2 linked regions of the Sus scrofa genome follow. The protein of the gene in region 2 purifies or fractionates together with the protein of the main gene of each other region. This does not show direct contact. Links are inferred from orthologs where the notes say so. Each region holds a gene or a part of one and is shown on either strand. Other genes may lie near its edges. The genes, in order: FASTKD5 and MAPK4.

Region 1 (15,841 bases), on a different chromosome or scaffold from region 2:
CAGGCCTGTGAGTCTGAATCACCATAGCAGAGTAGTCATGCACTTGGGAAGTAAACTCACTCACTTTCGTGGGGGAGAGGGCAGAAGGCCTAGGTTCTGCTCATTGTCAGTTCATGAGTAGGAAGCAGAGAGCATCTCAAAGCTGGGCTCAGGAGTTCCCATCGTGGCTCAGCGGTTAACGAACCTGACTGGCATCCATGAGGACGCAGGTTCAATCCCAGGCCTCACTCAGTGGGTTAAGGATCCAGTGTTGCTGTGAGCTGTGGTGTGAGGTTGGAGACACAGCTCGGATCCCGAGTTGCTATGGCCCTGGCATAGGCTGGCAGCTACAGCTCCGACTGGACCCCTAGTCTGAAAACCTCCATATGCTGCATGTGTAGCCCTAAAAAAGACAGAAAGACAAAAACAAAAATGCTGGGCTCAGAGAGCACCAATTCATGCAATTGCCCTGCTGACAAACAAGGGAAACAGCACGGCTTTCCTTTGAAGAAGGCAGATGAGCAATGCTTCCAGTGAGTCAGGCACTGATTATCCTGCCTGTGAACAGCACAAGTCCCATTTTTCTCCCATAGTAGAAACCATGAGAAGCTATGAAAATGACTCTGGTGTACCCTTGCTTTCCCTCAGTGCTTACGTCTTCCCCCCAACTTAAGAAACGCCAAAGCCTGGAGTTTCTGTCGTGGCTCAGCAGTAATGAACCCGACTAGTATCCATGATGACATGGGTTCAATCCCTGGCCCTGCTCAGTGGGTTAAGGATCAGGCATTGTCATGAGCTGTGGTGTAGGTTGCAGACATTGCTCAGATCCCACGTTGCTGTGGCTGTGGTGCAAGCTCGCAGCTGCAGCTCCAATTTGACCCCTAGCCTGGGAACTTCCATATGCCAAGAGTGAGGCCCTTTAAAAAAAAAAAAAAAAAAAAAAAAGAATATCTGCTTTGGCAGACTGTGGCTGCCAAGGAGGAGGGGGATGGAGGTGGTGGGGAATTGGGAGTTTGGGATAAGCAGATACAAACTATTATATGTAGGATGGCTAAAAATAAGGTCCTACTGGATAGCACAGGGAACTATAATCAATATCCTGTGATAAATAACAGAAAAGAATACATATATAACTGAATCATTTTGCTGCACAGCAGAAATTAATACAAGACTGTAAATCAATTACACTTCCATAAAACTTAAAAAGAATACTTGCTTTGGAGCTGGAATCTAAAGTTAGTTCAACACAATGTGCAAGTAAAGCAATTGTTCAAAGTGCTTCATCTCATCTTAGGAACAAGATCGGAAGAAATAACTTTTAAAAAAAGACATAATTTTTTTTCCTACTATAGCAAAAAAACTGAAAACCCAAATGTTCATCCAGAAGGAGGAAGGTGTTTACAGAATAAATGTGTGTCAAGTAACAACACATGGAAAAGTACATACAAATATTCAGTGGAACAAACAGAATACAAGTGCCATCATTTAAAATACACTAATATAAAAGGAAAGTGACTATTCGGCTTCTTTTTGGGAGGCTTTCTTCATATCTTTCAGAAATTAACTTTTTTCTCTTTTTAATTGGGGTTAAAATTGTTAAACAGAGAGTGCGTGGATTATTTTAACAAACGCCTTTATAAATAATATAACTTGAAAAGCACATTAAATAAATTACTTCGATTGATGCTACCTAAGGGTACTTAATGAGATTACTGAATATGGTCTTGAACAAAAGAACCATTTCCCGGAACATCAATGGTATAGATCTAGAAGTTTGAGTTAATGTGACACTTTCTGATTTGCAAAAACACAGACTAAGTCCTAAGATGGAAATAATTACAGCCAAAATTGTCTTAGAGTCTCCTCCATGCTAAGCCTTGAATGAGCAGGATTTTTCATTTTTTTGGCCTTTTAGGGCCACACTTGTGGCACACGGAAATTCCCAGGCTACGGGTCTAATTGGAGCTGCAGCTGCCATCCTATGCCACAGCAACATGGGACCCAAGCTGTGTCTGTAACCTTCAACACAGGTCACAGCAACGCCACATTCTTAACCCAGGGATTGAACCCTCATCCTCATGGATGCTATTCGGGTTCATAACCTACTGAGCCACAACAGGAACTCTTTTGAATGACCTGTTTAATCTGCATCAATTCAAATCCTTACAACTTTTTGTAAGGTAGATTTTATTATCTTGATGTTGTTGATGAGGAAAAAGAGACTTCGATGAAGATTACACAACCAAGGCACAGAATGGGGTTTGACGTCAAAGATTATCTGGTTCTGAAACCCACGCTGCTAGTGTAGAGACAAGAAGGGGAGTCAGGTTCCAGGAAGGGGAGTGGGGAGGACTCCAAATCATCTATAGGGTTTCCAGGTGTCAGGAAGTTGGAGGGTTAGAACTAGGAGAGCTCAAAAGGTCCTCATACCTCGAATACTCTAGGATCCTAGCTATCACTATGCTGAGTATATACTACTTAGAAAAAGAATGAAGAGAAGACCTCAAAGACCAAAATCTACATGAAGGAACTGAGTTTACAAGAGATACCCCAGTATTAAGGAAAAGAAAACTATCACAGGGGTTCCCATTGTGGCACAGCGGAAATGAATCCGACTAAGAACCATGAGGTTTCGGGCTCAAGCCCTGGCCTCGCTCAGTGGGTTAAGGATCCAGCATTGCCATGAGCAATGTGTAGGTCGAAGACACAGCTTGAATGCTGCATTGCTGTGGCTGTGGCGTAGGCCAGCAGCTGCAGCTCCAATTAGACCCCTAGCCTAGGAACCTCCACAGCCATAGGTGTGGCCCTAAAAAGACAAAAAGGCAAAAAAAAAAAAAAAAAAAAAAAAAAGAAAAGAAAAGAGAGAGAACTATTACAACTGAAGACATCAAGGCTGGCAGGAAAGATATGTGATCCAGAATTTAGAGTTCAACACAGAAAAGAACTAAAGGGAAATCCCAGGATAACAATAATGGGAGATCCCAGGATGACTGCAATGAGCAGACATAAAAAGCAACTGGTTTATGGTGAAGGGGATGGGTATTACCTAGGAGAGAAGATTTACAATTGTGATGGGTAATCTGAGGATGACCAATTAATAGACAGATGGATAACCAAACCAATAACATCAGTAACAAAAAGTATTAACTTCAAGGGGAGTTCCCATTGTGGAGCAGCGGAAATGAATCCAATTAGTATCCATGAGGATCCAAGTTCGATCCTTGGACTTGCTCAGTGGGTTAAGGATCTGGCGTTGCTGAGAGCTGTGGTGTAGGTCGCAGGTGCAGCTCGGATCCTGTGTTGCTGTGGCTGTGGCATTGGCTGGCAGCTGTAGCTCCAATTTGACCCCAAGCCTAGGAACTTCCATATGCCATAAGTGTGGCCCTAAAAAGCAAAGATAAAATAAAATAATATAAATTTTTAAAAAAGTATTAACTCCAGGGAAAACAAAAAATTTGTCAAGACAGAAAATGTTATCATATTGTACTCCCTGCTCAGCTTACATAATCTTACTAGTATAAACCTTGAATACCTGCCTAACCAAAAATCATGAGCAAACTATATTGGGAGGATGAGGGGAGGGGAATGGAGAAGGGGGATCAGGCACTGATATAAGAGACCTGGAGCATTGAAGTCCACAAGAAAGAAGTCAAAGAGTTTACAGACACAGATATATCCTAGAAAACAATAGCAACATAGGAGTTCCCATCGTGACTCAGTGGAAACAAATCTGACTAGTATCCCTGGGCATGCAGGCTTGATCCCTGGCCTCCCTCAGTGGGTTAAGGATCTAGCATTGCCGTAGGCTGTGGTACAGGTCACAGACGTGGCTCAGATCTGGTGTTGCTGTGGCTCTGGTGTAGGCTGGTGCTATAGCTCTGATTTGACCCCTAGCCTGGGAATCTCCACATGCACCAGGTGAGGCCCTAAAAAGCCAAAAAAAAAAAAAAAAAAATCAAGAAATAGTCACACAAATATAGTATTTAGGAGTTCCCCTGTTGTGCAGCAGATTAACGATCTGGTATTGTCAATGCAGCAGCTCGGGTCACTGCTGAGACAAGGGTTTGATCCCTGGCTGAGGAACTGCCACATGCTTCAGCTGTAGCAAAACAGAAAAAAAGAAATACACCAATGAAAGGAGTTCCTGGTGGTCTAGTGGTTAGGACTTGGTGCTTTCACTGTTGCAGCCCAGGTTCAATTCCTGGTCTTAGAACTGAGACCTTGGGAGTTCCTGTTGTGGCTCAGTGGTTAACAAATCCGACTAGGAACCATGAGGTTGCAGGTTTGATCCCTGGCCTCGCTCAGTAGGTTAAGGATCCGGCATTGCCGTGAGCTATGGTGTAGGTCGAAGACACAGCTTGTGGCAACACCAGATCCTTAACCCACTGAGCAGGGACCGGGATCGAACCTGCATCCTCACCAACACTATGTTGGGTTCTTAACCTGCTGAGCCACAATGAGAACTCGCCCCCGGAATTTTTTTAAATAACAAAAATAAAATACAGCAATGAATACCAAAAGAAACAGACAAATAGTTGAAAAGTAAGGAACAAAAGGAGTTCCGGTCGTGGTGCAGCAGAAATGAATCCGACTAGGAACCACAAGGTTGCGGGTTTGATCCCTGGCCTTGCTCAGTGGATTAAGGATCTGGCATTGCCGTGAGCTGCAGTGTGGGTCACAGATGCGGCTCAGATCTGGCGATGCTGTGGCTCTGGCGTAGGCCAGCAGCTACAGCTCCAATTAGACTCTCCTAGCCTGGGAACCTCCATATGCCGTGGGTACGGCCGTAAAAAAGGACAAAAGACAAAAAAAAAAAAAAAAAAAAGGGAACTAATATTGAGTGTCATAAGATCTGTTAAATTATTTAATTATGTGAACCATGTACATGTATAACTTTGAAAAAATGAACTTACAAAATGCATGTTCTAACAGGAAATTTAAGTATTCTTCAAGAAGACAATTAGTGGAGTTCCCATTGCGGCACAGAGGAAACAAATCCAACTAGGAAACAGGAGGTTTCGGGTTTGATCCCCGGCCTTGATCAATGGACTAAGGATCTGGCATTGCCGTGAGCTGTGGTGTAGGTCGAAGATGCCACTCAGATCTGGCATTGCTGTTGCTGTGGCTGTGATGTAGGCCGGCAGCTGTAGCTTAGATTGGACCCCTAGCCTGGGAACCTCCATATGCTGAGCATGCGGCCCTAAAAAGACAAAAGACCAAAAAAAAAAAAAAAAAAGACAATTCATGAATAAAAAATGCAATTTAAGTTCTCAAGGAAAATGCTGAAAGGTTATTTCTAGTGCAAGTACTTCCTACTGCCAGTAGAACTTCTTCATGGATGCCCAGTAAGAGAAACAATGATAAAATAAATAATCTTAGAGCCATTCAGAAAATGCAAATGGCAAAAGGTAGCTACTCCCTTTTTCACCACACAACTTTTAAGATAACTGTACAGACACCATACCTACATTTACAGATATGAGATATAACCACTTCAGAAGTTAGGTCTTAAGGAGCTCCCACAGTGGCCCACTGGGTTAAGAAACTGACTGCAGTGACTCGGGTCCTTGTGGAGGTGTGGTTCCAATCCCCTGTCCAGCACAGGGTTAAAGGAATCCAGCCTTGCCACAGTTGTGGTGTGGGTCACAACTGTGACTTAGATTCAATCCCTAGCCTGAGAACTTCCCTATGCTGTGGGTGCGATCATAAAATTAAAGCAAACAACAAAAAAAGAAGTTAGGTATTGAGTACTATGGAGAAGGAAAGGGAAGAAACTCAAGGAAGACAGAGAACCAGTAAAGCAAAAGAGTGGGGAGAAAATGCATGGCAAATGATGGGAGGTGAGGATGTGCTGTCAAGATGGAGAAAAAACACAGGAGGGTAAGGAGAGTTGGTACCTCCTTACTTAAGGACTCCCAGAGAATCCATAACAAAGCTGAAAAGAGACCATTATGAGAGGCCAAATCAGTAACTCCTGATGCCTTTTCTAAAGGTTCAAAGCGGTGTGTTATCCTCTCACAAAACCGTTTTCCTATTTTAAGTGCCCCAAGTATACCTTCTTCCCATCCCCTCTTTAGGGGTCCTAAAGAACAAGAATGGAGCCTCAGAGACCACTGGACCATGGCTATTTAGAAGGGTACTGCCCAAACCACCCTGAATGATGTGATTTCACAAGAGTGAGGAATCTTACCTTCCTACCTTCCAGGTACAGGTCTGAGCAAGGCTGAGTAGCTTCATTTTAAACTACAGTCCAGAAGGTAGGAGAGGGGAACCAGGTGGAGGAAGGCAGCCAAACTAACTAGAGATAAAGTATATGACACCCTCAGCATATTCAATTAACAATTACTGGAGATCATCCCTTAATTCTGGTTTGATTCCTTTGCTAAAAAAAATTTAACCCACTGATAAATCCCAATAAAATTGCCACAAACAAATGGATGCTTCAAACTCCATTTCTATCTTAGCAAAGAATGTGTTGAGCAGCCCCAATAATTAAAAAAAAAAAGGCAAAAAAACTAACTTCCTACAAAGTTAAGGAACTTTGTAACCAGGGGCTACAAAGCTTTAAAGCCCCCAGTGAAGGATTAGAGACTGACACTGGGGGGGCCTCATCTGTTAATGAGGATGCTAACTGGGCTAGACTCTTCTCTTCTGTGCTTCTGTTAAGCACAACCTACAAAAGAGGGGTCGGCTGCAACTAGGGAGGTAAAGCACTAGTGCAAAGGTGTTTAGGTCAAGGAAAGTACCCCCCACACAACTAAGCCAAACCAAAATCAAGTCTAACTGCTGATCCTCTCCATTTCCGTTCCAGTTTCCACACTTAGGGGAGAGAAACGAGTACATTACAATCATCTGTGGGGTTTTTTGTTTGTTTTTTAAGCTTACATAGCCCACTCCTTCTAAGACTCTGCTATCCCTCTATCAGAATGGCAAGGACCTGGGTTGATATAGTCTCAGAAGACCCCACAGATGAACCTGTTAGAACCACTGCTATTTTTTTTTTGCCACCCCCGCCCCTCCCCCATGGCATATGGAATTCCCAGGCCAGGGATCAGATCTGAGCCACGGCTGCAACCTCCGCCATAGCTGCAGTAACACCAGATACTTTAACCCACTATGCTGGGCCTGGGATGGAACCTGTGTCCCAGTGCGCCAGAGAGGGAACTCCAGAGCCACTGCTCGTAAAAGGTTTCATAAAACTCTTATCTGTAGGAGTTCCGCTGTGGCACAGTAGGTTAAGAATCTGACTTCGGCTGCCTGGGCTGCTGCTGAGTATGGGTTTGATCCCTGGCCTGGCACAGTGGGTTCATTGCCCCAGCTGTGGCATAGGTCGGATTCAGTCCCTGGACTGGGAACTTCCATATGCTTCAGGTGAAGCCATAAAACAAAAAACGCTACTTTTAGAAATTTCTGGGTACAACGGTAGAGAGCAGACACTCATGTCCTCTCAGCCCATCTAAATGGGACTATGAGAAGACTGACAAAATCCAGACAGGTAAAGTATCTGCACCCAGAATCATGTGAAAAAAATTCCAAATTAACAGTCCAAATATCTATCACTGTTAGCATAACCAAACATTTGGTTGTATCTGCTTTCCTAGATTTGCAAGGCCACATAGTATTCAGAATTCCTTGGTATCAAAGCTGACTTATATGCATGATGAATGGCAGAGCCTTGTTGGGGACCAGAAAAAATAAACCAATGAATGGGGCAGAAAGCCACACTGACAAATAAATTAAATCTGCATAACTGCCAAAGGCCTCAGATATATTATGCAGCACAGAGTCTCTGATTTTCATTTTGGTCTCCCAGGCAGCAGCTTCATCTCAGGCTTGCCCAAGGCCATTCACATTAGGGAGTCACAGAACCTCGTTCTGGAAAAGTGACTGTTCTTATCATTCACAAAGTGTGAGCAAAGTGCAGAAAACATGAGTTCAGATTCCAGCAGCAAATTACTAAAACACAAAACATTAGCCATGCTGGTGCTAAAGCGCTGGGCTCCAGCTCCACAGTCCAAGTGAGTGGGCAGTGAAGCATCACCTGAGGAAGCCCATGAACATAACTGGTATGAAGAGGGCCCCAAGCTCCATGAGTCAGGACAGAAGAGCTGTGTCATGATTTGTATGGAAGGAGAAAAGACAGTTGTTTTTCTTATCCCTAGAAAGAAAAAAAGGAAGAGGGCTAAAAATACCACCCTTAGGCTTGTGCAATCAGAAACTGTTAAAAAATGGGTTTAAGTGCATACACTGTATTGATATTTATTTAAGACTCAACCTGTCGCAGGTACTAAGCGAATATCGCGGGGCCTTTGCTGCTCAAAGCGCGGGCTGCGGAGCAGTGGCCTCAGCCTCACCTGGAAGCTGGTGAGAAACGCAGAATCGCAGGCCTCATCTCAGATTTACATACAAAATCAAAATCTTCAGATCCCCAGGTGATGCGCATGCATATGAAGTATAGTAAGAGGAGCCGCTGAGCATCTCACTACATTCTCACAACAGACCAGGGGGGCGAGTACTGCCATTACCTCCGTCTCATAGCGGGAAAAAAAATCGAGGTTCTGGTAAGACGTTTGGGCAAGGTCACAGGACTCCGGGTCGCCGATGTTCTCCCTAAAGCCGGGCCTGCGACAGCCTGGGCCGGGAAGCACCGCGCCCGGCCTCCGCGCACGCCCGGTGCCGAGAGGCGCTGGCCAAGGCCCACGTCGGCAGAGAGCGCCGCTACGACCTCCTCCCCGGCCGCCGCCACTCACCTGAGCCTGGCAAGCGCCGGCGCTGCAACACCAGACCCCACTCCCGCAGACGGCGGCTCCGCGGCCACTTCTTCGGCTACACCTGGGCCTCACAGCTCCACTTCCGGCCAAATGCCCGCTACTTCCGGCCGCTACGTGAGCGACGGGTGCGGCCAAGGCTCAAAACTCTTTCAGCGTTTCCCAGGGACGTTCCCTAGCGTCTCCCAGAGATTCTGCGGAAGGACGTTGCTGAAGAGACAAGGGGAATCCAAGACCTGAGGAGAGGAAACACCACCGTGGATGGACCGCTCTGGAAGTTACCGAATAGCCTAAACACAGGTTCGAATCTCAGATCGCTACTGAGAGTTTTATGGCTTTGGGGAAGTCACGTAAATCCTCTAAGCCAAGTTTCTCATCTGTATAATGAGGTAATCATGCATTTATAATAGAGATGTATCTACAAAGTGCTCTCAGGAGGAGAGTTAGTGATGGATAGAAGATTACCCTGTTAGGGGAAATGGATGTGAGGAGCTGAATAAGGAGGCCAGAGCTTTGACAGATGAACCCAGGTGATCTTCCACCTCCCCAAGAAGGCGGGGGCGGGGGCGGGGGCCTTCTTTCCTCCTGAGTGGGTATGGACAGCTAGGCAAGGAAGAGACACTCGAGACTTTCCAGGAGGACTTGACCCCAGACAGCCGTTCCTAGGCGCACTGGAGACTGCTGATCAGGGTGGTCACACCTTGTCTGTGCCTTGGCTGCTGGTCCGCCCATCCTGAGGGAACCTGAGAAATGGTGCTTCCTCCAGGGAACCATCTTGATGGGGAGACAAAATCAATTGTAGGAAGGACACTTCCTTGCAAGGAGGGGCAAGCTTGGCATCTCAATACCTAAGCTCTGTGGAGGACACTGTTTGGGACACCGCTGCTTGGAGAGGGTTCTCTCACTTGGGCCAGACCAGGGCAAACACTGGGAGTTGCCGATTTATGACTCTGTCCTTGCCGTCAGAACCCAGAGCGCCCAGGAGATGAGATGAACCGTAATTGCTCCTAGGCAGCCATAACAATCCTGATCGTCTTTGCCAAATACTCAATTTCCCAGCCTCCCTTGAAGTGGGAAGAGCCTATGACTCAGCTCTAGCCCACAAAATTTAAAGGGAACGGTGCTGTGGAACTTCTGGGAAAGGTTTTACTTTCATGATACAGTGCTGCTGCCTCATTCACTTCACAGAGCTGTGGCTGCCGCCTTGTGGTAAAGAGGGAACAATGTGCCACAGATAGTGTAGGAAGGCAAGAAGTCTAGGTCCTTAATGAACCAAGCCCTGTGACACTATTGATGCCTATGTTCAGACTTTTTATCAGGTGAGGATGAATAAACCACTCTTTGAGGTCCTGTAACTCAGGCTGCATTACTTGTAGCAGAGTACATTCTTGCTTGGGGAGCTTCATGAGGATGAGCAAAGGAATGATCATAAAAATCTGCTCCCTCCTTGAAGCACACTTGGGTCCCTTCTGCCTTTGGGGCCTCACCACTAATTACAAATTGGTTCTTACTGCTAATTACAAACATTTCACGTCTGTGTTCTGCCCTCAGACTTCAGCTCATCACTGTAGGGTGGCTCAGGATGCTGCAGGCTGCATCTGGTTCTGTAGCCTCCCCTGCCTTCTGGCCAACAGCCTGGTATCCAGTTTTATATATATATATGTATTTTTTTTTTTTTGGCCTTTTTAGGCCATACTTGCAGCATATGGAGATTCCCAGGCTAGGGGCCTAAGGGGAGCTGCAGCTGCTGGCCTACACCACAGCCACAGCAACACAAGATCTGAGCCGCGTCTGCACCTACACCACAGCTCAAGGCAACGCGGGATCCTTAACCTGCTGAGTGAGGCCAGGGATTGAACCAGCAACCTCATGGTTCCTAGTCGGACTCGTTTCCACTGAACCGCGAGGGGAACTCCCAACAGATTCTGAGCAGGAACTAGTTGGAGACCCTTTTGGCGACAGGCAGACCTGAAGAGAAAGCCCTGTCAGGCAGGAACGTGGAACCACTACTCCTCCTAGCCACAGGGAGGAGCTTGGGCTTTGGGCCAACCTCCAGGCACGGCCCAGTAAGCACCTCCAGTCTCATGCCTCCTCTGGAAAATGTTTACTCCAGCTTTGCCCTCCACACCTCCCTCACCCAGCCTCACCTTCACACCAGCAAAGGCACAAGCAAGCCAAAAAAAAAAAAAAAAAAAAAGCCACTCAAGAGGCTTTCTCCATTTTATTTCTTTGGGAAAAGAAAACGAAGTCTTTCCATCACATATGGTAGAGATATATATTTTTATATATTTATATATAATTTCTTTTGTGGTTGGAAGTCCCAAAGCTGAGTCTGTTCATATTTTTTTTTCTATTTTTTTTTTTTTTTCCTACTAATGCCTTCTCTTCCCCCTGCCCCTCTGGCCCAGGCCCAGGTTCTGGGGCAGGTGTAGTGAAGGGTGAGTGGAATGGGCAGTGATTGCCAGGACAGCCCCTCACCCAGCTCAGAGATCTGGGGAGGGCCACCGGAAGGGGCTGTGCAGAAGGACAGAGGCCACGCAGAGGGGCACTCCTGTTTTTGTGGGGGATGCACAGCTGGTTAAACAGTCACCAGTCATGGGAGGAGGCTGGTCAGGGGTCGGGGGTTGCTCACAGTAGTTGCCAGCTCCCTCCACCCTGCCCCACAAACCCAGTCTTGGGGGTGGGAGGGAGAGAGTGAAAAGAGAGAAATACCAGGGCTGAGGGCCAAGCCTCCTCCGATTTTTATTGCTGGTGTGTTAGAAATTTGCCTTTCCCTTCTTATCTTGGGGAGATAGACTCTCAGAGGGCCCCGAGAGGAGGAAGTGACATTGGCTGCCCCCACCCCCACTGACGGCTATGCCAGGCCTACTCTGGGCAAACCCCGGGCTACCTCAGGCCCCTGGGACCCAGGAGTCAGTGTTCCTCTCCATTCAGCCTTGCTCTTCAAGAGCAATCATAGCCACCCCTGTCCCCCAAAACAAGGGCCACAGGCTCAGGCTTGGGCCCAGTGGAGTGTGGAAGTGGGCAGTGCACCAAAGATCAAGCAGAGTTTTCTACTGGAAGAAAAGGTGAGGTTTGGGGGAAGCGGTGGCCTAGGACAACGATGTTCAGAGCATGAAAGCAGGAGGCTGAGCATGAAAGCAGAAGGAGGCTGAGGGAATCAAGTGGGGGAAGACACAGGAAGACATCACAGACACTCATATGACCTCAGAAACTGGGTGAGGGGAGTGCCTGAGAGGCAGGTAGCACTTAATAGCTGTAGTTAGAGCTGGACAGTGGTCCGGGGTATGGGGTCAGCCAAGCAGATGGGACTGTTGTCCTGTGGGATCCTGGCCAGAAGGGGCAGGGTAGAGCTAAGAAGCCTCCAGGTGACCCTTCCCAAGAAGAGGAGGGCAGAGCTTCCCTGGGCACTGAGCCTCCAGTCCCTGCCCTTCCCTCCTCCAACACGCACAAATGGACACACACTCAGGACCAGGCCAGGCTCTGAGGCCTGAGCCCAAGAGACCTTGGGGGGGGAGGGGCTGGGCAGGTAGCCCTCTCAACCACAGGCAGGCCATCTGCTCCCACTCATCCTGCCAATCTGCCAAGGAGGGAAGACTGCGCAGGAAGGAGAGAGGCCGGGAGCCCAAGGTCTGTCCGCTCCGGCAGACCCCAGGCAGGCCCCCTCAGGCTACACGGCATAGGAGATGGGCACAGAGCGCATCTCTAGACACACGATGGGCCGGCAGTAGCAGCCCAGACCATCAAAGGGCTGGGTACCTGGCGGCACTGCAGGCCTGCCACCTCTTCAACAAGGGAGTGCCAAGAAAGGGAGCCCGGGCTCCCCTGCTGCCTGGGCCCTTCATCCCCACACACTCAGCCCTCCCCCTATTTCCTCCTTGGGAGGAGGGTCAAGTGGGCTGCCCAGGGGGGCAGTGGTAGAGCTGGGAGGCACCCAGTGAGGGGAGGGGAGGGACCTGGTCACAGCTGCTTTGAGAACCTCTTTGGTCTGGGGATACAGGGGGACATGGGGGGGGAAGGTGATGGCAAGGAGGGGATACTGGGGACTCTGGCCTTTGACAGGGTTTTTGTCAAAAGACCACATGCCCAGGGAGATCAGATTTCCGTGGACTCAATGCGCTCCAGGCGGGAGGGGGTCCAGGCTTTCTTCTCCTCCCCGTGTTGGGGTGTAGGCGTGCTGGCACCTCCCGCGGCCCCGCGCTCTCGCAGCCGCCGCTCCAGCTGCTGGTTGCGCTGGTACATCTCCACGTAACTCAGCTGCAGCTGCTTCTGGTACTCGATGACCTTCTCCTTCTCCTCCAGCCACACGCGGCGCTCCTCTGCGAAGCTGGCACCCTGGCGCTCCCGGGCTCGCCGCTCGGCTGCGAGCTCAGCCTGTAGCCGCCCCACCTCCCGCCGCAGGGCCCGCGTCCCACTCTCCCCCCCAGCATCCACCTCCCCATCCAAGGAAGCCAGGGAGGCGGCGGCAGCCACCCCAGCCTGACGGCGCATCTTGGCCTCGTCACTCTCGCAGGTGGCCAGGGCATCCTGCGGCTCAGCGGGGTCCACTGGGGTCAGTGCCGGCTTGAGGCAGGCAGAGGGCAGCTCGCCCTCGCCCAGCTCCAGGCTGGCCTGTTTGCTGCTGAAGGAGTCCCTCAGGCTGAGCAGCTGCTCCTCCTTCTCCCGCAGCGAGGCCCGGCCCTCCCGCAACTGGGAGCGCAGCCCTACGATCTCACTCAGCTTCTGGGACACGTCGGCCTGCGAGTCCTTCAGCTGCTGCTTCAGGAGGGAAATCTCCCCAGCCTTCTGGCACACCTGGGCAGGAGCGGGTGAGAAGAGAAGTCAGGGTGAAGGCCGAGCTCTGCCCACCCCCACCCCAGCCCCAGGGCATTGAGCTACCCCGGGGCTCAGGGTCAGCTCCTCATCAGAGCAGGAAGACCCCCTCCTCAGACATGGCTAATTTCACACAGCCCTGGACAGCGCTGGTCTTCAGACACCCCTAATCAATCCCGCCACAACCTTCGCTTCCCCAGTGATGGTTGTGGGTTGCTGTTCTGGGTTTCTCCAGCGAGATGGAAGGGGACACAGGGAGAGCCCAAGCCCCCAGCCCGCACCTCCCACTTAGTTTCCTCCATCCGGGGCAGGAAGTCGGCCTGTTCCTTCTGGCAGGCGGCCACCTTGTCCTCAAGCTCTTCCCGCTGGCGCATCAGCCGGGCTGCCTCCTCCTGCAGCTGCTTCTTGTCCTGCTGCAGCCGCAGCACCTGCAGCTGTAGGCCTTGCTGGGCGCGCTGAGCGCGCCGGGCCACCTGCTGCAGCTTCCCACTGCAGCCCTGCCGCAGCTCAGCCAGCTCACGCTCCCAGGCCTTCTGCCGCTCCTCCAGCACCTGAGCCACCGCTGCCTCGCTCTGCTCCAGGCTACGCCGCAGAGCTGCCACCTCCTGCTCCTTCTCCCACAGCCGCTCCTCTAGCTCCTGGATCAGAGTGCTGGGCGAGGGTGGCGAGCAGGCCGCAAACGGCAGGCCTCCACCTCCACCCTCCCCCGATCCCAAGTGGCCTGGCCGCCCCATGGATGAGGATGACCCGCTTTTGCTGGAGGCCCGCCCACTGTCAGAGGTTGCTAGGTCCTGGTAGCCTGACCCACCACCGCTGCTGCTGCCACCACTGCCACTACCATAGCTGGCAGTGCCAATGCGATTGATGTGGCTGGTGGAGGCACTGAGGGGCGCCAGGTGCTGGCTGTAGCTGGAGCTGTAAGTGGGCAGGCTTGTGAGTGAGTTCCGGCCTGAATCTGAGAGGCCGCCCCCACCCCCACCCGCTGGGGTCATGGTCCGAGACTTGTCCAGTCCACCCTTGAGGCCACCGGGGCCCTGTCGTCCCTCAGGGGTCCCGTTGGACTGCGGGGGGCACAAGTTCTGCATGGAGTGGAAGTTCTTGGGTACAACGGGCTTGAAGGCTGAAGGCCGAACCAGTGGCTCTGAGCACTGCATAAAAGCAAGGGAGGGGGAATGTGGAATCATGATGGGGCCTTGGCCTTGACCCCAGTCTTTTTCCTCTGGCCTAGATGTCTTCAGCCCCACCTCCCCCCTACCCCATCGGAGCTCCATCCTGGGAGTCCCTTCTGGCTGGGTCTCTACCCAACATCCACCCTCCTGATCCCAGCAGCCAGGTCTCTGCCCTAGACCCAGCAGGTGGACTTGGCCTCCAAGGCTCCTCAACTCAGCTTCTACCTCAGCCCCTACAACCCAACCTCCAAGAAGACCCACTTCCTCCCCATCTCTGGGTTGCCTCCCACCCCCATAAAAAAGCCCTGGGGACTGACCTGGTCTAGCTTGCCAGAGGTGGGCAGGAGTTTGGGTGGGTGGCTGGGCTCACGATATTGAGGTGGGGCCTTGTCACTGCCACCGCTGCTGCTGCTGCCACCACTGCTGCCCACCACATTGCCGCAGACATCCGTGTGGTCACTGCCCCGCAGCTCGCCATTGAGGTAGAGTGAATTGGCGAGAGCCTTGTCCTCTGAGGGGTAGCGGCCTGGCCTCTCCCTGCTGGCCCCACTGCCACGGGGGCCAGGAAAACTGCCCTGGCTGCCCCCACCCCCTGTGCGGGTGCCCACACTCTTCATGGCAAACTCCTGGGTGTGGGCCACCCCGCTGCCCACACTGCCCATGGCCAGGCGAGGGTCTGGGGGTCCGAGCTCAGAGGGCCGAGGGGCAAAGGCCAGGAGGGGATCCCGCCCTGGGTCAGCGCGCACAGGCAGTGTCTCCAGCTTCGCCATGACTAAGCCAGGGGAGCACTGTGGACACAGGTGGGAAAGCAGAGATAGGTCAGCCCCACCCCCACTCCCACCACCCCATCCAAGACAGACCTGTCCCTCGGTGTCCCCTTCCTCACAGTGGGTACAAGAGTTCCCAAACACCCAAGGTGAAGGAATGGGGCTGGGGAAACAGTGATAGCTTGGTAAGAGGGGCTGCCTGCTGACAAAGCCCAACCCCCAGGGACCATGCACCTACCCTCCCAGCTGTGCTCTCCTCAACTCCCACCTCAAACCCACCTCCTCCAGGAGCCTCCCAGACTCAGTGATGCCTCAACTCTTCCCTGCAACCTCCAGAACTTAGGGG
Region 2 (15,199 bases):
TTAGAGATGGCAGAAGAAAGGCTCAATGAATTTGAAAACAACCATAGAAATTATACAGCTTCTTGAAAAAGAGAAAAAAGATTGGACCGTATTTTGGGACAATTCCAGGCTGAGTAACATACATGTAATCAGAGTCCAGACAGAGAATAGAAAGTGGAGTAGGGAGTTCCCATCATGGCTCAGTGGTTAACAAACCTGACTAGCATCCATTAGGACATGGGTTTGATCCCTGGCCTTGCTCAGTAGGTTGAAGGATCCAGAAATGCTGTGAGCCATGGTGTAGGCCACAGATGCAGCTCAGATCCTGCATTGCTGTGGCTGTGGTGTAGGCCAGCCACTACAGCTCCACTTGGACCCCTAGCCTGGGAACCTCCCTATGCCGTGACTGCAGCCCTAAAAGTGGAGTAGAAAAGAAATAGTTGAAAATATCCCAAATATAGTGAAGGGGGAAAAAAAAACAATTTACAGATGTGAGAAGCTCAATGAATTACCTAAATATGGTAAAAGAAGACCATACGTAGGCACATCACAGTCAGCTGTTGAAAGTTAAAGATCAAGAGAAAATCTTGAAGGCAGTTAGAGAAAAAAAAGACATGACATATAGAGAATGAAGACCTTTTGAGAAACAATAGGGATAGAAAATAAAGCAATGACATTTTTAAGTACTGAAGGAGAAAAACATTAACAGATGCAGAATCTTATATCCTAGAAAAACAAACTTAAAATGAGAAAATAAAGGCACTTTCTAGATAAACAGATAATTTGTCCCCAGCAAGCCTGTACCACATGAAATACTAACCATCTGTAGCCTTCTTAGCAGGAAGGCTCACTTCCTGCTTCTTGAATTCTTCTGGAGCTTTGGAGATTTTGCATAGGAGGTGGCAGCTCTAACTGTGAGTAGGTGAGTGAGGAAGCTGGTGTTGACAGTAAGGAGGGAGCTACTGATCTCATTGCACCATTAAATCAACCATTCACCCCCAGTGGAGAACCAGACCCACAGGCACATGGGAAAGGGTGAGCTCTGATACGAAGAGGAAGGCAGCAAAGCACTGCTGGTATGCATCAGTACAGCGAGGCCAGTTGTTAGGCTCATGAAATACTCGCAAACTGGTTGGAAAATAGCCACTACTGCAAGCCTCTGAGTCCCTCGCTCATCATCTTGGCCTTATTCCCAGATACTCCCAAACCTCCCTATGATCCAGTAATAAAGGGTCAATTCCTGGCAAGCAGGGCACCTCAGGACCCACCTTAGAACTCTGCCGGCTTTCTTTCTAATTAGTTGGTGCCTGAGCCATGCCAGTTATTAGAGGTTTATAACATCACCCCTGGAGCTAAGTGGGGTTGCTTCCCAGGAAGGGAAGCCTGGGTATAGTGTTCTGGGAGTAGATAGAAGAGGACCCCAGGAGGCTCAGGGATGAGTGAAGACCCTGCCCCTTGGGGTAAGGCTGCAGTAGGAAGAGGGGAGGCAGGGGAGGCATTGAAAGCTGAGAAAATTAGCTTTTTCTACTCAGCCTGGGTGTTCAGGGACATTTGACTCTCTAGCACAACCTCTGTTCTAATCCCCTAGGTCATATTTTTCCCTTTTAAAAAGGGATATTTCATAGCCTTTTAAATAAATCTTTTCAGCTCCACTGATTTGGAATAATGTTCTTAGTGGCTTAAGAACTTCTAGCTGGGCCCTCAGCAAGTTGTCCCTCAACGAGCCCACTTTCTCATGAAACCTTGGGCCTCTCCCAGTGCCAGCACTGTGGACCCCAGTTTCCTTCTGGGGAAACTAGCTCCCAGGCTAGGCTTTCCTCACTTCCTGCACATAGGGACCTGTATCTGCACAGTGGAGTCCATCCAAAATAGAAGCGCATAGAACACCAAATGGACCTTCTTTTGATCAACAGCAAAGGCTCTATTTCAGCCACAAAAATGGGCATTCCTCTACCTAGGTTAAGTTTTGAGAGAATCTGTGCTTTAGGGGAGTTTTTGTATGTCTGCTTGGGCAGAGGGAGGATAACTTGGCCTAAACAGACAAGAAGCCATCAAAGGAAGGCAGAGTGACCAGGAGAGAGGGGAGATGCGGTCAATCAACATGACCGAAGCAGCAAAAACGTAGCTGATTAAAGCTCTGTGCAAAGCCTTTGGAAGTTGGCTGATGTGTTTTCCATCATGTACCTCTTTGCCTCCTTTGGGACCTTGAACTGAACCACACGCCTGAACAAAGTGCAGTAATTTGCTGAGCCCTCAATCACTCGGTCTCACTGAAGTGTGAAAGCAATGTCTTGTTTTGAAATAACATCTAGTGAAGACGTTAACACCAGGATGAAAAGTATGTTTTCTAAAATCCTTGTTCACATCACCTAACTCTTGTTAAAGTCAAACCTAAGCAGAACAAACACTCCTTTTGATGGAGTTCCTGGTTTGTGCAGCTTTCTGCCATGCTTGAGTGATGGGGGACCAGGCCGTTTCCAAGTGATGTGACTGAGGCCCTAAAAGTCAAACTGCATAAAGCAATCCTTGCAATTCCCTGTCACAGTGCCTGGTATCCGCACCATTAACTACGCCTTTGGTTAAGGAACCTTCATCAAACATACCCATGTTATCTGGGAGGAGTTCTTCGCCTTCTTCATTGCACTCACGTTTGAGAACCTCAGCTGCAAGCATCAGCAAACACAAGAGTGTTTGCTTCCTGTCCACATATAAGCAACTCCAGGCCTTCAGATCAGTGGTGCTTAAAAGTTCAAAAACACCAGAATCACCTGGTGGGTTGTTAAACCACACCTTTCTGGGTCACACCCTGAGTTTCTGATTCAGTTGGCCTGAGATGGGACCGGAGAATATGTACCTCTCATGAGTTCCAAGTAAAGCTGATGCTGCTGGTCCAGGACCACACTTTGAGGACCACTGTACTAGCTGATTTCTACAGAATCTTCATGAGATAAGGAGGCAGAGTGTGAGAGCATTTGAGCATTCTGATCATGGATCATGAGGTAAGAAGTTCTGAAGTAGAAAGTGGTCTGGGCCTGAAGGCAGGCCAGCCTAGCACAAGACTTGCTCAAATGATCCACTAAAACATTTTCTATGGGCTTCTTCCTCTTGCTTTCTTTCCTGGGTATTTTCTTTTCTTCCTTTCATGGCCACACCTGTAGTATATGGAAGTTCCCAGGCCAGGGATTGAATAGGAGCTGCAGCTGAGGCCTATGCCACAACCACAGCCACAGCCACACCAGATCTGAGTCATATCTGATGCCTACGCCGCAGCTTGCGGCAATGCTGAGCAAGGCCAGGGATCAAACCCACATCTTTCTAGAGACCAGGGATCAAACCAGAATCCTCAGAGACAATGCCAGGTCCTTAACCCACTGAGCCATGACAGGAATTCCGCCAGGCTATTTCCTGCCTACTGCTGCCAGGAAAGGTAAGTCTGTTGGCAGCCGCAGTAAGAACAAGAGGTGGTTCCCTCTCCTGGCCCCTTCCTGGAGGGACGTGTCCACACAGCTAATCCGACTGTCAATGCTCTGCCCAGCCCTCTGCTCCCTCTTATGGGGGCTCCCAACATTTCTTGGAATTTACTTAGGACTTAGTGAAGTCTTTAAACAACATTTTTTTAAATCTCTTTTGAGATCATCTATTTCCTAATAGAATAAATTCAAAGGGAAACACTCTCGGATCCTTTGGCCGTCTCTTCTTGACACAAACACAAGGAACGAATTAGTGGGCTGCCGAGGAGGTGGGCAGAAAGTGGTTCACGACAGGAGGACAGGCTGGGCAGCCACCCTTGGGTAGGGCTTCATGACTCACCCTTTGGCCATCATGTCAGGAGATGGTTCCATATATTAGTGGAGGGGAAAATAGCATCTGGGTGTCTGCCTGGTGTCACCATGGAATCTACTGGGCAAGTAGTTCTGTTAGTGAATTAGCCCTTTGAACATCTGAAAGTCCTCACCTTTGTTTGACTCTAAAAAGAATCCTGTGAAATAAGAAGAATGGGAATGATGACCCATTTGGCAGAGAAGACAACTGAGAAGGGGTCGACATGTGTGCACTATACTCCTGGCTCAGCCCTGAGTGGGTCTCTTCCCCCTTCTAGGCCTCAGTTTTACCGTCTGTGAAATGGAAGGAATGGACAAGGTGATTGTGAGGTCTCCTTACAGGTTTTTTTTTTTTTTCTTTTCTTTTTCTGCTGCTTCTGTGGCATGTGGAAGTTCCCAGGCCAGAGCTGCGATTGAATCTAAGCCAGAGTTGTGATCTATGTCACAGCTGTAGCAACATTAGATCCTTAACCCACTGTGCCCGCCCAGGGATCAAACCAGTGCCTCCACAGAGACAAGCCAGATCATTAACCCACTGTGCCACAGCGGGAACTCCTCCTTACAGGTCTCTTATTCTGGGGATGCGCTACACAAGGAAAAGGATTTGCCTGAGGTCATGCAATTGATGACCCAGAGAAACTAGGAGCCTCCATGCCACCTCTGTTGAGTGAGAGCCATCAGGGCACCCCATTGCTACCCACCACCATCTCCAGCTGGGGCCTCTAGCTGCCCTCTGCCTTGCAAAGACCAAGACCCCTGGGAGGGTGTGGTAGGGGGACATGTGCCCAGAATGCTCGATGACTGTGACTTGAAGCTCCAGTGCTGCCAGCTGCTCATTGGAGAAGAGGAGGTCATTTCCTTTGGCACCTCCTTTCCCTGAGAAACACAATGGACACCTGCCCCATTCCAGGCCCTGTGCTAGAGCAGGGGATGTGGAGGTGAAAGAAGCTTGGAGTCCACCCATGAGAAGGTCATGATGAGGAGACTGAGCATCAGCTGCTGCCTCTGAGTCCATCCCCCAGTTGGCTCCCAAAGCCCGTCCCTGGTACTGGGCTGTAACCCACACAAAAGCACTGGCTGCAGCCCAGGTGAGCACCGTTTCTGCAAGGCAAGATCAGTACCCATAAAACTCTAGGAGGGGTCGAGTTTAGAGCTATTCACATGTAGGCATTGTCCTCTGAACACACCAGGGAGAGCAGATGCACATGGCTGACCCCAGCCAACCCATTGGCTGGAAGAATTCTATTCTCTCTTTCTGAGAGTTACACCTTCTAAGCACATGGAATCAGTGAGCCCACCCAGCATCCTAGCTGTTATGTGCTGGTCAATGACAGTTCTGCTGTATGTTCAAGACAGTCAACACAATCAACTGGGCCATGTCTCAGGCACAGGACTAAACTCCCTGGAGGAAACCAAGATGAACATGACACAGCCATCAAGAACCAAGGAGCCTTCAGCCTAAGAGAACATAAAAGAACCACTGGCACAAATACCATAAGACAGAGCAGAGAAGGGTGGATGCTAGAAGATCCAGGTTAGGGGGTGGAGAAATGTAAAGAAAGCAAAGACTCATTCCAGCTGGAGACCAGAAAGCCTTCATGAAGGAGATGGCTCGGGAAAAGATAATCCATCAAGACTCAAGAAGGACAAGTTCTCATGTCCCCTCTGCCACTGTCAGCCGAGTAATCTTGAGAAAGTCAGTTCTCTCCATTTTAATACGGACCATTTTCAGAGTTCCCAGCATGGCTCAGTGGTAACAAACCTGACTAGTACCCACGAGAATTCGGGTTTGATCCCTGGCCCAGCTCAGTGGGTGGAGGATCCGGTGTTGCTGTGAGCTGTAGTGTGGGTTGCAAATGTAGCTCAGATTCTGAGTTGCTATTGCTGTGTGATGTAGGCTGGCGGCTGCAGCTCCAGTTTAACCCCTAGCCTGGGACCCTCCATATGCCACAGGTGTGGCCCTAAAAAGCAATAAATAAAAATAAATAAATAAATAAATAAAGCAAAATGGACCATTTGCCTTATGTGCCTCACAGCATTATGAGAATTCAATGAGAACTGATTTAAATTCACATCAGATAAATAATGGCACCAAATATAAAGCTTTCGTCATCACTTGGGCAAGAGTAGGGAGGAAGCTAAAAGCAGAAAGTATGTGAGGGAGGAGGCAGGTGGGGGTGGGGGAGGCCTGCCAAATGCAGAGCTGATGTGAACACCTACTGGGCTTGTAATTGGCTCCAGTTATCTTTTTTTTTTTAAACTTCTCACAGCTAATTTTATTGACGAGAGCCCACAAAGAGTAAGTCACAGCATCTAAATTCCTCTGCCTCAGGAAAATCAAAGTCTCAACCAGAGATGGCTTCCCACCCCTGAGTGACAGTAGCACAGCCACCTATGGTGGTCAGTGAACCTGGGGTTCCTCTCCAGATCCCAGCACAGAGTCTGGGGCCTGGCGCGCTCAGCAAACACTCATTAGATGAAGGGGTAAGGTCTTTACTACTTTCCAAGGGGCTCTGCTATCATGCTCCACTTTTTTTTTTTTTTTTTTGGTCTTTTTGTCTTTTTAGGGCTGCACCCATGGCATGTGGAGAGTCCCAGGCTAGGGTTCTAATCGGAGTTGTTGTAGCTGCCAGCTACAGCCCCAGCCACAGACACACCAGATCCGAGCTGCTTCTGTGACCTATACCACAGCTCACGGCAATGCCAGATCCTTGACCCGCTGAGTGATGCCAGGGATCGAACCTGTATCCTCATGATTCCTAGTCAGATTCATTTCCACTGCACCACGATGAGAACTCCTCATGTTCCATTTTGTCAAGGATGGAGAAACGAGGCTTGGCTCTCGGAGGGCGACTGTCCATGTCCCAGGCAGCACCGTCAGAAGGGAGCCCAGGCCTCTGCCTCCTCACACAGCATCACCTCCTCACCTCACACACCTCCTAAGAATTGCTGCCACAGCCAATCTTTGCCCCAACAATCAGCTTCCCTGAGTTTCCCGAAGACCAGCCGCAGGCTGTTCTGAGCACGTTCCCTTCAATACTTCACTTCACCAGACCCTTCCTTCAAGGACAGTCCTATTGTTATTCCCACATGAACTGGTTTATTCCACTTCAGAAGGCGGTTTTGTGCATCCTGGAAATACAAATGTCATGGATTCTCTGGTCCTTTTACCAAATAAGAACAGTTTTGGGTTATAACCTTTGGTTCAATTGTTTGGAGTCATTGTTCCTTAGAAGAAAGAGAAAGAGCATGAGGAGTCAGGAAGACAGAAGGGCATTTCTTCTTTTCTTTTATCATTTTTTTTTTTTTTTTTGACCATGGACATTACTTTGCAGAGAATCGTCTGTCAGTTTTGACAGATGGCCTGGCAGCAGGAGGGGGCATAGAGGGCAAGCTCATGGCTAAGGCAGTACCGAGGAGCTGGAGCCAGCTGGGCTGATTCCGGGTCTGAAATCTGGGCTGGAGCCCAAGTTCTAGCCGGTGAGGGTGGGACATGGAGCCCTGCCCCCATCCCCATTCCCCAGACACCTTCCTGCCGAATCTGCCCTAGGCAGGTCAGCACCTTTCTCAGTGTCTGCGACCTTCTGGCTGCAGGAACACAGGATGGCAGGGGAGAGCAGAGGTATGAGGCCTCAGAAAGAAAGCTGAAGCATATGCAAGGTCAGAGCTATCCTCCCCTTTCTGGACATACCCCAGCCCCTCAGCTGGCAACAGTTTATGGTGTGCCTCCTTCCTGAGGACTGGATTCATTCTAGAAAAAAAACTCATCATATAAATGTTTGGGCCAGAGACTGGAAATCACAGGGAAGCCAAAGCTCTGTGGAGGGGGTGCCTGCCTGAGGTGCTCAGAGGATCCCCTGAAGTGGAAGGAGCTGGGAGAAGGGGAATAGAATTTCAGAGGACTCCCAGCTCCTGAAGGGTATAGTGGATTAGGTAAGAAGAGGTCTCAGAATGAGTGTCAGTGTCTTGACCAGTGTGGCTGTGTCAGCCCTGATCTCTGCAGCTGCTGGAGCATTGAGCCACCCACCATGGTGTGAGGGTGGAGGGGTCTCAGCACCATCCAGACACCCAGGGCTTTAGCATCACACAGTGGTGGGTGGGGCATCATGGGACCTGGGAGAGCTGAGCCATTAGCTGGATAGTGTACACCCAGAATTAGTTCATCAGATTAGCCAGTGGTGCCTCTATCCACAGACAGAATGAATGGAAAACAGAGCTGGGCAGCTTTGATGGGAAGAGGAGGCGAGATGAACTCAAGTGGTGGGAAGGCTCCCTGGGGCTCCTGTGCAGGGAGCAGGGAGAGGAGGTGGTTAGGTGGACAGCAGAGAGAAAAGGATGCTAGAGGCAAGTTCACCAACCACACGATTATGAAGGCACAGAGTTTAGTGCTGGATCCATTAATCCACCCCCCTCTTGTAGAGCCTTGAGTTATTGGTCACAGCCATGGCAGAGGCAAGACTAAGCACCAGAACTCCCTTCTCCCCCAACAGCTTTTCAGGCCAGTGATCTTTCTTGGGCCCTCCAGCTTCCCCAAGCACATACCCTGGTCCTCCAGTTCCACTGGAGTTAGGGATACCCTGAACATTCTTGAGGATTCCATTGACCACCTGCATCAGCAACCCAGCCAGACGTACCTTGTGTGAGTAATGCTGATCAACGATCCTTGCCAACCCAAAATCCCCGATCTTGAGCACGAGGTCTTCCGTGCTGATGAAGATGTTGGCGGGCTTCAGGTCCCTGTGCAGCACGTTGGCGGAGTGGATGTACTTGAGCCCTCGGAGCAGCTGGTACATGAACAGCTTGGCGTGCTCCTCTGTCAGGGTGCCCTGCTCCAGCAGGCGTGCCAGGTCAGTCTCCATGTACTCCTGGACGATGTAGGCCACGCTGAACTTGAACAGTTCACCCTGCAGGTCGGTGCCCTTGGGCCCCAGCACCTCGTACACCTTCACGATGTTGTCATGGTCTAGGCGCCGGATGATCTTGATCTCCCGGAGCGCGTGCTTCATGCTGCGGGTGTCACTCAGGGTGATCTTCTTCACAGCCACCTTCCGGCGGGCCCTGCTGTCCACGGCGGACAGTACCAGCCCATTGACGCCAAAGCCCAGGGGTTGCAAGTCAATGAAACGCCCACCAAGGTCATAACCATAGACACTGGCGATGCAGTCACCCTTTTCAGCCATTGTTGGCTTAGTGGTCAGGGGCTGCCCGTGGGATGAAAGGGCAGTCAGAAAAGGCCAAGTCCCAGCTAGTGGCTTCTCCAGCACACCTCATTCTGTCAAGTCCCAAGGCTGAGGGATGCTTTTTTTTCTAGTGATGTCACTGCCACCAGCTCTCTGGAGACAAGAGTGGCATAAGTCCATACTTGCTGAGCTGTACAAGTTGGAGGCTCAGACTGTTTCCTTAACCTGCACTGGGAAGGCTGTCCACCAATTCCTGAGCCTTCTTGGAAGCTTAGAATGGCTCATGATTCTTTCAAATATAGCATCTTGGAAGGAAAAAACCAGTTTTATTCACTATGTGAACATAAAGTTTCCTGTCATGATGGGCCACATAGTAAAGACGCAGCAACTCTCCCCTTAAAATCCTTTGTTAACAGAGGTTCCTTCTGGCTGAAATGCAGAGCTGCTGCTGAGCTGTGTTCCTCTACTTTCGGTGGTCCGAAGCTAGCTGTATGGCAGCCTCTGTCAGCTAGGGGGCTGCCCTCTGGGTCTGGAGCAATATGAAGAGATTCCAACAATGGATTGTAGAGGCTTCCAGGGATTTCTTTCTACCTCCGCCAGCTCTCCTTTCTACCAGTTCCTCTTAGATTCTGAAACCCAAACCAGTTTGTTGAGTGATGGTGAAGAAAACTGGAGAAATCCAAGCACCTTTCATGAGCTCTACACCCAGTTACACCTCAAGGCCCAAACCTGAGGGCAGCTCAGCTGGCCTGCCAGGATCCTCCAGAGGCTTCAGAAGTGGGCAGCATTCTCCGTCACACCCTCATTCATGCCACCTTGAATGACACTGTGTTCTGCTGGACCCAGAAAGCCTGCAGGAACTCGGCATCTTTCAGGCAGAGTCTCCTATCCTGCCAAAGAAACAATGTTGGGTAAATTTCCACACTTCGGCTTCCAACACCTTCCCACTTGTGCATGTCTTTTGTTAACCAGCCCAAGTGTTATTTGATCTGTCCAGCCAGCTGAAACACTGCTTGCTCAGGGGATTCCAGGCTTTGCACCGCCCAGCCACCCTCCTGCTGTGTGCAGCGTGCCCCTGGAAGAGAGAGAAGATGGACTGACATGCCTTTTATGTAAAAGCTTGCTCCCCAAAGGTTAACATGCAGAAACTGTGGGTGGCAACCTCTCTGCCCTTTGCAAAAATCATCCCTTATGCTCTCTAAATACACACATCAGAACTCACTAAGGAGCGTGAGAGTAAAAAGTGCTCTCTAAATACACACATCAGAACTCACTAAGGAGCGTGAGAGTAAAAAGTAACGCATTGCAGACAGAAAATAGAGGATCAGTAATTTTGTTTTTATACTCAGACCCCCTTTCTTCCTACTTCTGCAAACATCTTTGAAGATTTTGAGAGAATTTGCCAGGCACTGAGATTTAATTACTTTGTATCTCTTGCTTTCCATGGAGGTAGCATAAGCATACATACTGCATTACAAGGAAATTTTATTGCCACCCTGGAAAAGGGACTCTCTGTGAAGCAAACAAGGACACAGACTTCTTGGTGTGACAGTAGGACTAGCATGATAAACTGTATTGTTTTTGATGATGGGGATCTAGCTCTTCAAAGCAATAGGTCAAATTGTAGCCTAACCGCCCCCTGATGGCTGCTGACTTAAATTACAGGCATCAGAACTAAGTGGGGAGAAAAAAACAAAAACAAAAAAACGACTAAGCCCTGTAAATTCAGAACTCCTAAGAAAAGGTAATATCATAGCTTCTAAGAGAGTGCCAGACTTTTTAAGTTTATTAAGTTCACAGACACACAGAGAACAAACACTATATCCTGTGCAAAAGAGTGAATTTGCCAAGACTGCTTCTTAATTTTCATCATTCTGTACGGCCCCCTGTAGGGATACTTTCACATCTGAACTCTGGAATGATAAATGAAGCAAAACAGCAGTCAAATCCATGCTCTAAAACTAAGGGGGCAAGTTAGGGGACACAGATGATCTGAAATAGTAAATAATCGTGTGCTCTCTAAAGACTTCTAGTGAACAGAATTTAGCAAGAGTCTGGAACGTAGTAACAGATGTTACCTGCTGTTGCTATTGATGGAAATTCCCTTACATTGGAATAAGAGGTACCTACTGTTCTGATGTTTCATCAACCTTCAGCAATTCTTCTCTGCATGTTTTTATTGGGCTCAGTTACAAAATAATCAAAATTTCAGACTGAAAAGCAATCATAGCAAACAGTGGTCCTTAATTGGGGTGGTCCTGCCCTCCTTGGCTGCTCTGATAAGGAATCACTACAGACCTTTAACAGTCTGTAGGGCCAGAGTTGCTAACCATCCTGCAGAGCATTTCCAGTGAATAACTGACACCCCCCAACCCACCCAAATGCCAGCATATCCACTGAGAAACTACGGTTCTTGTCTGAGTTCTCACTTTGCAGATAAGGGTACTGAGGCTCAGAGAACACTAGCTCAGTGCTTCTAACATAGACAAGGTCAATAAACATTTGATGAATTGATGAAAGAATACCATTCATTCTAACAATTTCTAGTATATGGCCTGGGCTGGGGAAGTCCACCTGGACACCTAAGTCAGGGAAAAAAAAGAGCCCCCTGGAGACCCATACCATCCCTCCACCCACTCCTGATGCCCAAATCACGTCAGAGATAACTAAATTGGAGTGCCTTTCACTTTTTAAAAATAATTTGTTTATTTATCTATTTATTTATATTTGCTTTTTTTAGAGCCATACCCATGGCTTATGGATGTTCCCAGGCTAGAGCTACAGCTGTCAGCCTACACCACAGCCCATGCCAATGCCAGATCTCTGACTCACTGAGTGAGGCCAGGGATCAAACCTGCATTCTCCTGGACACCAGTTGGATTTGTTTCTGCTGTGCCACAACTGGAACTCCTCCTTTCACTTTATACCCATATGCCTGGCTTGGTTCCCAAGGGCACGGCAAACAGAGGCAACTATATATTTTGCTTGATGAGGGGAGATGCTGAAGCCTTCTCCCCTTTCTAGCTCCCATGGGCTGTAAACAGAGAGGGGGGATGAGCACCTAAGCAGGGAGATGAAATCGCCCACAAGTTGAAGGCAGGATTTGTTCCAGATGAGCTGCAATGCAGATAATCTGTGGATAATTAAGAGGAGCTCTACTTATTTTAAAAACTCTTCTTTCTCTCACTGGGGGAGGGACTGTGCGCTGTGTGTGTGTGTGTGTGTGTGTCTCAGTGGCCTGCCCAAAACACTGTCGGCAGTTACCTCAATCCTTTGGGAAGACCCAATTCTAGCCACTCCACTGTTCTCATGGCCCTAAATATACTCTCTGAATTCCTGTCTTGCTTCTTTGCTTCCATCTTCCCAGATCCTGACATGTTCTGCTTCCTTCCCACTTGCTGTTGAAATCCTGCCCATCATTCTGAATCCAGATGAAGTCTTACTTCCCCTCGGAAGGGTCCTCAGTGACATTCCTCCCTCTTCTGATATATTTGACATTGACCATATACTAATCTGGGCTGTTACTTAACTTTTTAGACATGTCCATCTCTCAACTAGACTTTAAGCTTCTCAAGCCCAGGATACAAAGTGGTGCTTAGAATGAAACCAGGGCTTGGAGTTACCTGAGGCCCACCTGTTATGTCTACAAAACTGCAATGTCCACTTTCCCCAGACAGTCAACCCCCTCTACCTCTCATCACTGCTTCAGTGCAATACATTCAACCCAACAAGGCTCTTCACATAACGAGCCCTGACCACTCAGACAAATCAGTATTTCTGAACTTCAGTGTCATTTTCTACTTAGATTCTGCCTCTTTTATTTTTATTTTTTCTTTTTAGGGCCTCACCTTCGGCATACGGAAGTTCCCAGGCTAGGGGTCGAATTGGAGCTGAAGCTGCCGGCCTACACTACAGTCATAGCAACACCAGATCTGAGCCACCTCCACCACCTACACTACAGCTTGTGGCAATGCCGGATCCTGAACCCACTGAGTGAGTCCAGGGATACTAGTCGGGTTCTTAATCTGCTGAGCTACAGCAGGAACTCCAGATGCTGCCTCTTTCTGTATTTCAACATGAACCAGACAGACTTCCACTCACCATTTCTCTTTTCCCACTTGAGTTGACAGTTACTCATCTCTTCTCATACTTCTTCATTTTCTAAAGTTTTCCCTATCATTCCTCTATAATTTCTACATAAACCCTTTGCCTTTCTCCATGGGTGGACTGATCATGAAATACCTATTACCTAAGAAGTCTCAGATTAGTGGTTCATTTCTTACATGGCAGACCCAGGGCCGTGGGCCTCTTGGCCCTAGAGAGGGGCATACCTGACATATCGAACTGCCCACCTGGGCAGAGGATTGAGGATGGCAGCTCTTGGTGTGATGTGACTTATCAGGGCAGAGTACAGTCATTCTCTACTTGGAGGTGATGGCTCAGAGTGGCTCTGAATCACAGGTGTGATTTTAAACCAGGGAACTTGCATGAGATATGCGAAGGTCATGAATTCAGCTGTGCTCAAATGACACACAAGTGAAAAGAGCGCATATAACTCTTCCAAGGGCAGTAAGGCTCCCACGACTCCATGCTGAACATTATAATAAAATATAGGAGTGGAGGGAGTTCCCTAGGCTCAGTGAGTTAAGGATCTGGTGTGGTCACTGCTCTGGTTCAGGTTTGATCCCTGGCCCAGGAACTTCTGCATGCTGCAGGCATGGCCAAAATAAAACAAAAACAAATAAACAAGAACCCCACAGAATTAGAAATCTTACCCCAGAAAACTAGCAATGGAGCCTACTCATTTCTCACTGACCTTCCATCCATCTCTTATTTGAGGCCAGTCAATTGACACATCCAGTCTTTTAATATGTGGAGGCAAATCAGCGATGAGATGCTCTCTGCCAATTGTCCCTTTCTGGGATTCCTGGGGCTCTGGTTTACAAGGCAGCTTTGGAAAGTCTAAATTTAGACTCACCTCCTCTGCCTGCTTTGATCCTCCCAAACCTCATGCTGGCGGCTTTCAGCAGGAACTGTGGCCTCCAGCGAGGTGCTGACATTACCCAGGCACTGCTTTCTTCCCTCTCCTGAGCACCCGAAAACTGGCAGGAAAACCTTCCCCCGCAGGGCTGATGTTTACAGCCAAACAGGCTGCACACTGCACCATTCCAGGTGTTACTAATCATATCATGGTCAAGTCTGTCTGACTCGAAGTTTCGTGGTGATCCTAATCACTATGAAGTGCCCTAGACCAAAGACTAGCAAGTTTTTCCTATAAAGAGCCAGAGAATAATTATCTTAGGCTTTGTAGGACATATAGTCTCTGTTGCAACCATTCAACACACAAGAGCAGCTACAAATAATACCCAAAGGAGGGGCACAGCTGCATTTCCATAGATCTTTATCTACAAAAAATAGGTGGGGGGCTGGATTTGGCTGGGGGTGAGCTGACGACCCCGGGTTTAGACTGTGTAGCAACACTCTCTAGCTGGTTCCCAAGGAGGCACTGAAGTGTGCGGTAACCAGGCCCCTTTCCAGCCGTTCTTGCACCGTCTCCTCCTGCAGGACTCACTTCCCTGGGGGGCCCCCTCCCAGTGGCACTATCCTGGGCCTGCCCTCCTGGGGAGCTGCCCTGGGCTCATGATCCCACCAAAGCTTAGCCCAGCTCATCTGTAGGTTTCATGCCCTCAGGAGTCAGCTTTCTGCCTTCCTGCTCTGCCTTTCTGTGGTGCTGTCCCTATGCCTTGCTCCCAGATCCCACATGCACTAGCAGAGGCTTCTGGGAATGTGGTGAAGATGACATGATGCAGATGAGGTAGGAATTCCCATTGTGGCTCAGTGGATTAAGGACCTGATGTCTCTGTGAGGATGCAGGTTGGATCCCTGGCCTTACTCAGTGGATTAAGGATCCAGCATGGCTGCAAGCTAAAGCATAGGAAGCACATGTAGCTCAGATCCAGTACTGCCATGGCTGTGGCTCAGACCTCAGCTGCAGTTCTGATTTGACCCTTAGCCTGGAACTTCTATATGCCACAGATGTGGCCGTGAAAAGAAAAGGAAAAAAAAAAAAAAAAAAAAAAAAGACGGGGTAACTACACTTATGGAGGGTTCATTCTCAACCAAGGGACAGATTAGCTGGGTCTCACAAAAACCCCATGATGTGGATCATTCTCCCATGATGCCCCCAGAGGGAAATAACTCACCCAAAGTCACACCACT

Evidence for each region.
Region 1: the proteins of MAPK4 (region 2) and FASTKD5 purify together in Homo sapiens (affinity purification with mass spectrometry; 3 studies listed by BioGRID and IntAct, with this or other methods). This does not show direct contact. The link is inferred for Sus scrofa from reciprocal best matches to the Homo sapiens genes MAPK4 and FASTKD5.

What each region holds. Positions count from the first base shown.
Region 1 is NC_010459.5:32,513,635-32,529,475, reverse strand, and holds the start of FASTKD5 (FAST kinase domain-containing protein 5, mitochondrial), read right to left. Parts: upstream 8,852-15,841; 5' UTR 8,730-8,851; intron 8,711-8,729; exon of another isoform or gene 8,505-8,710; intron 8,138-8,504; exon of another isoform or gene 8,021-8,137; intron 6,278-8,020; exon of another isoform or gene 6,170-6,277; intron 1-6,169. Other genes in the region: LZTS3 (leucine zipper putative tumor suppressor 3), read right to left, coding at 12,843-13,541, 13,841-14,707, 15,046-15,498. UniProt on the Homo sapiens protein: Plays an important role in the processing of non-canonical mitochondrial mRNA precursors.
Region 2 is NC_010443.5:100,213,687-100,228,885, reverse strand, and holds part of MAPK4 (mitogen-activated protein kinase 4), read right to left. Parts: intron 9,871-15,199; 5' UTR 8,981-9,870; coding exon 8,435-8,980; intron 1-8,434. UniProt on the Homo sapiens protein: Atypical MAPK protein. Phosphorylates microtubule-associated protein 2 (MAP2) and MAPKAPK5.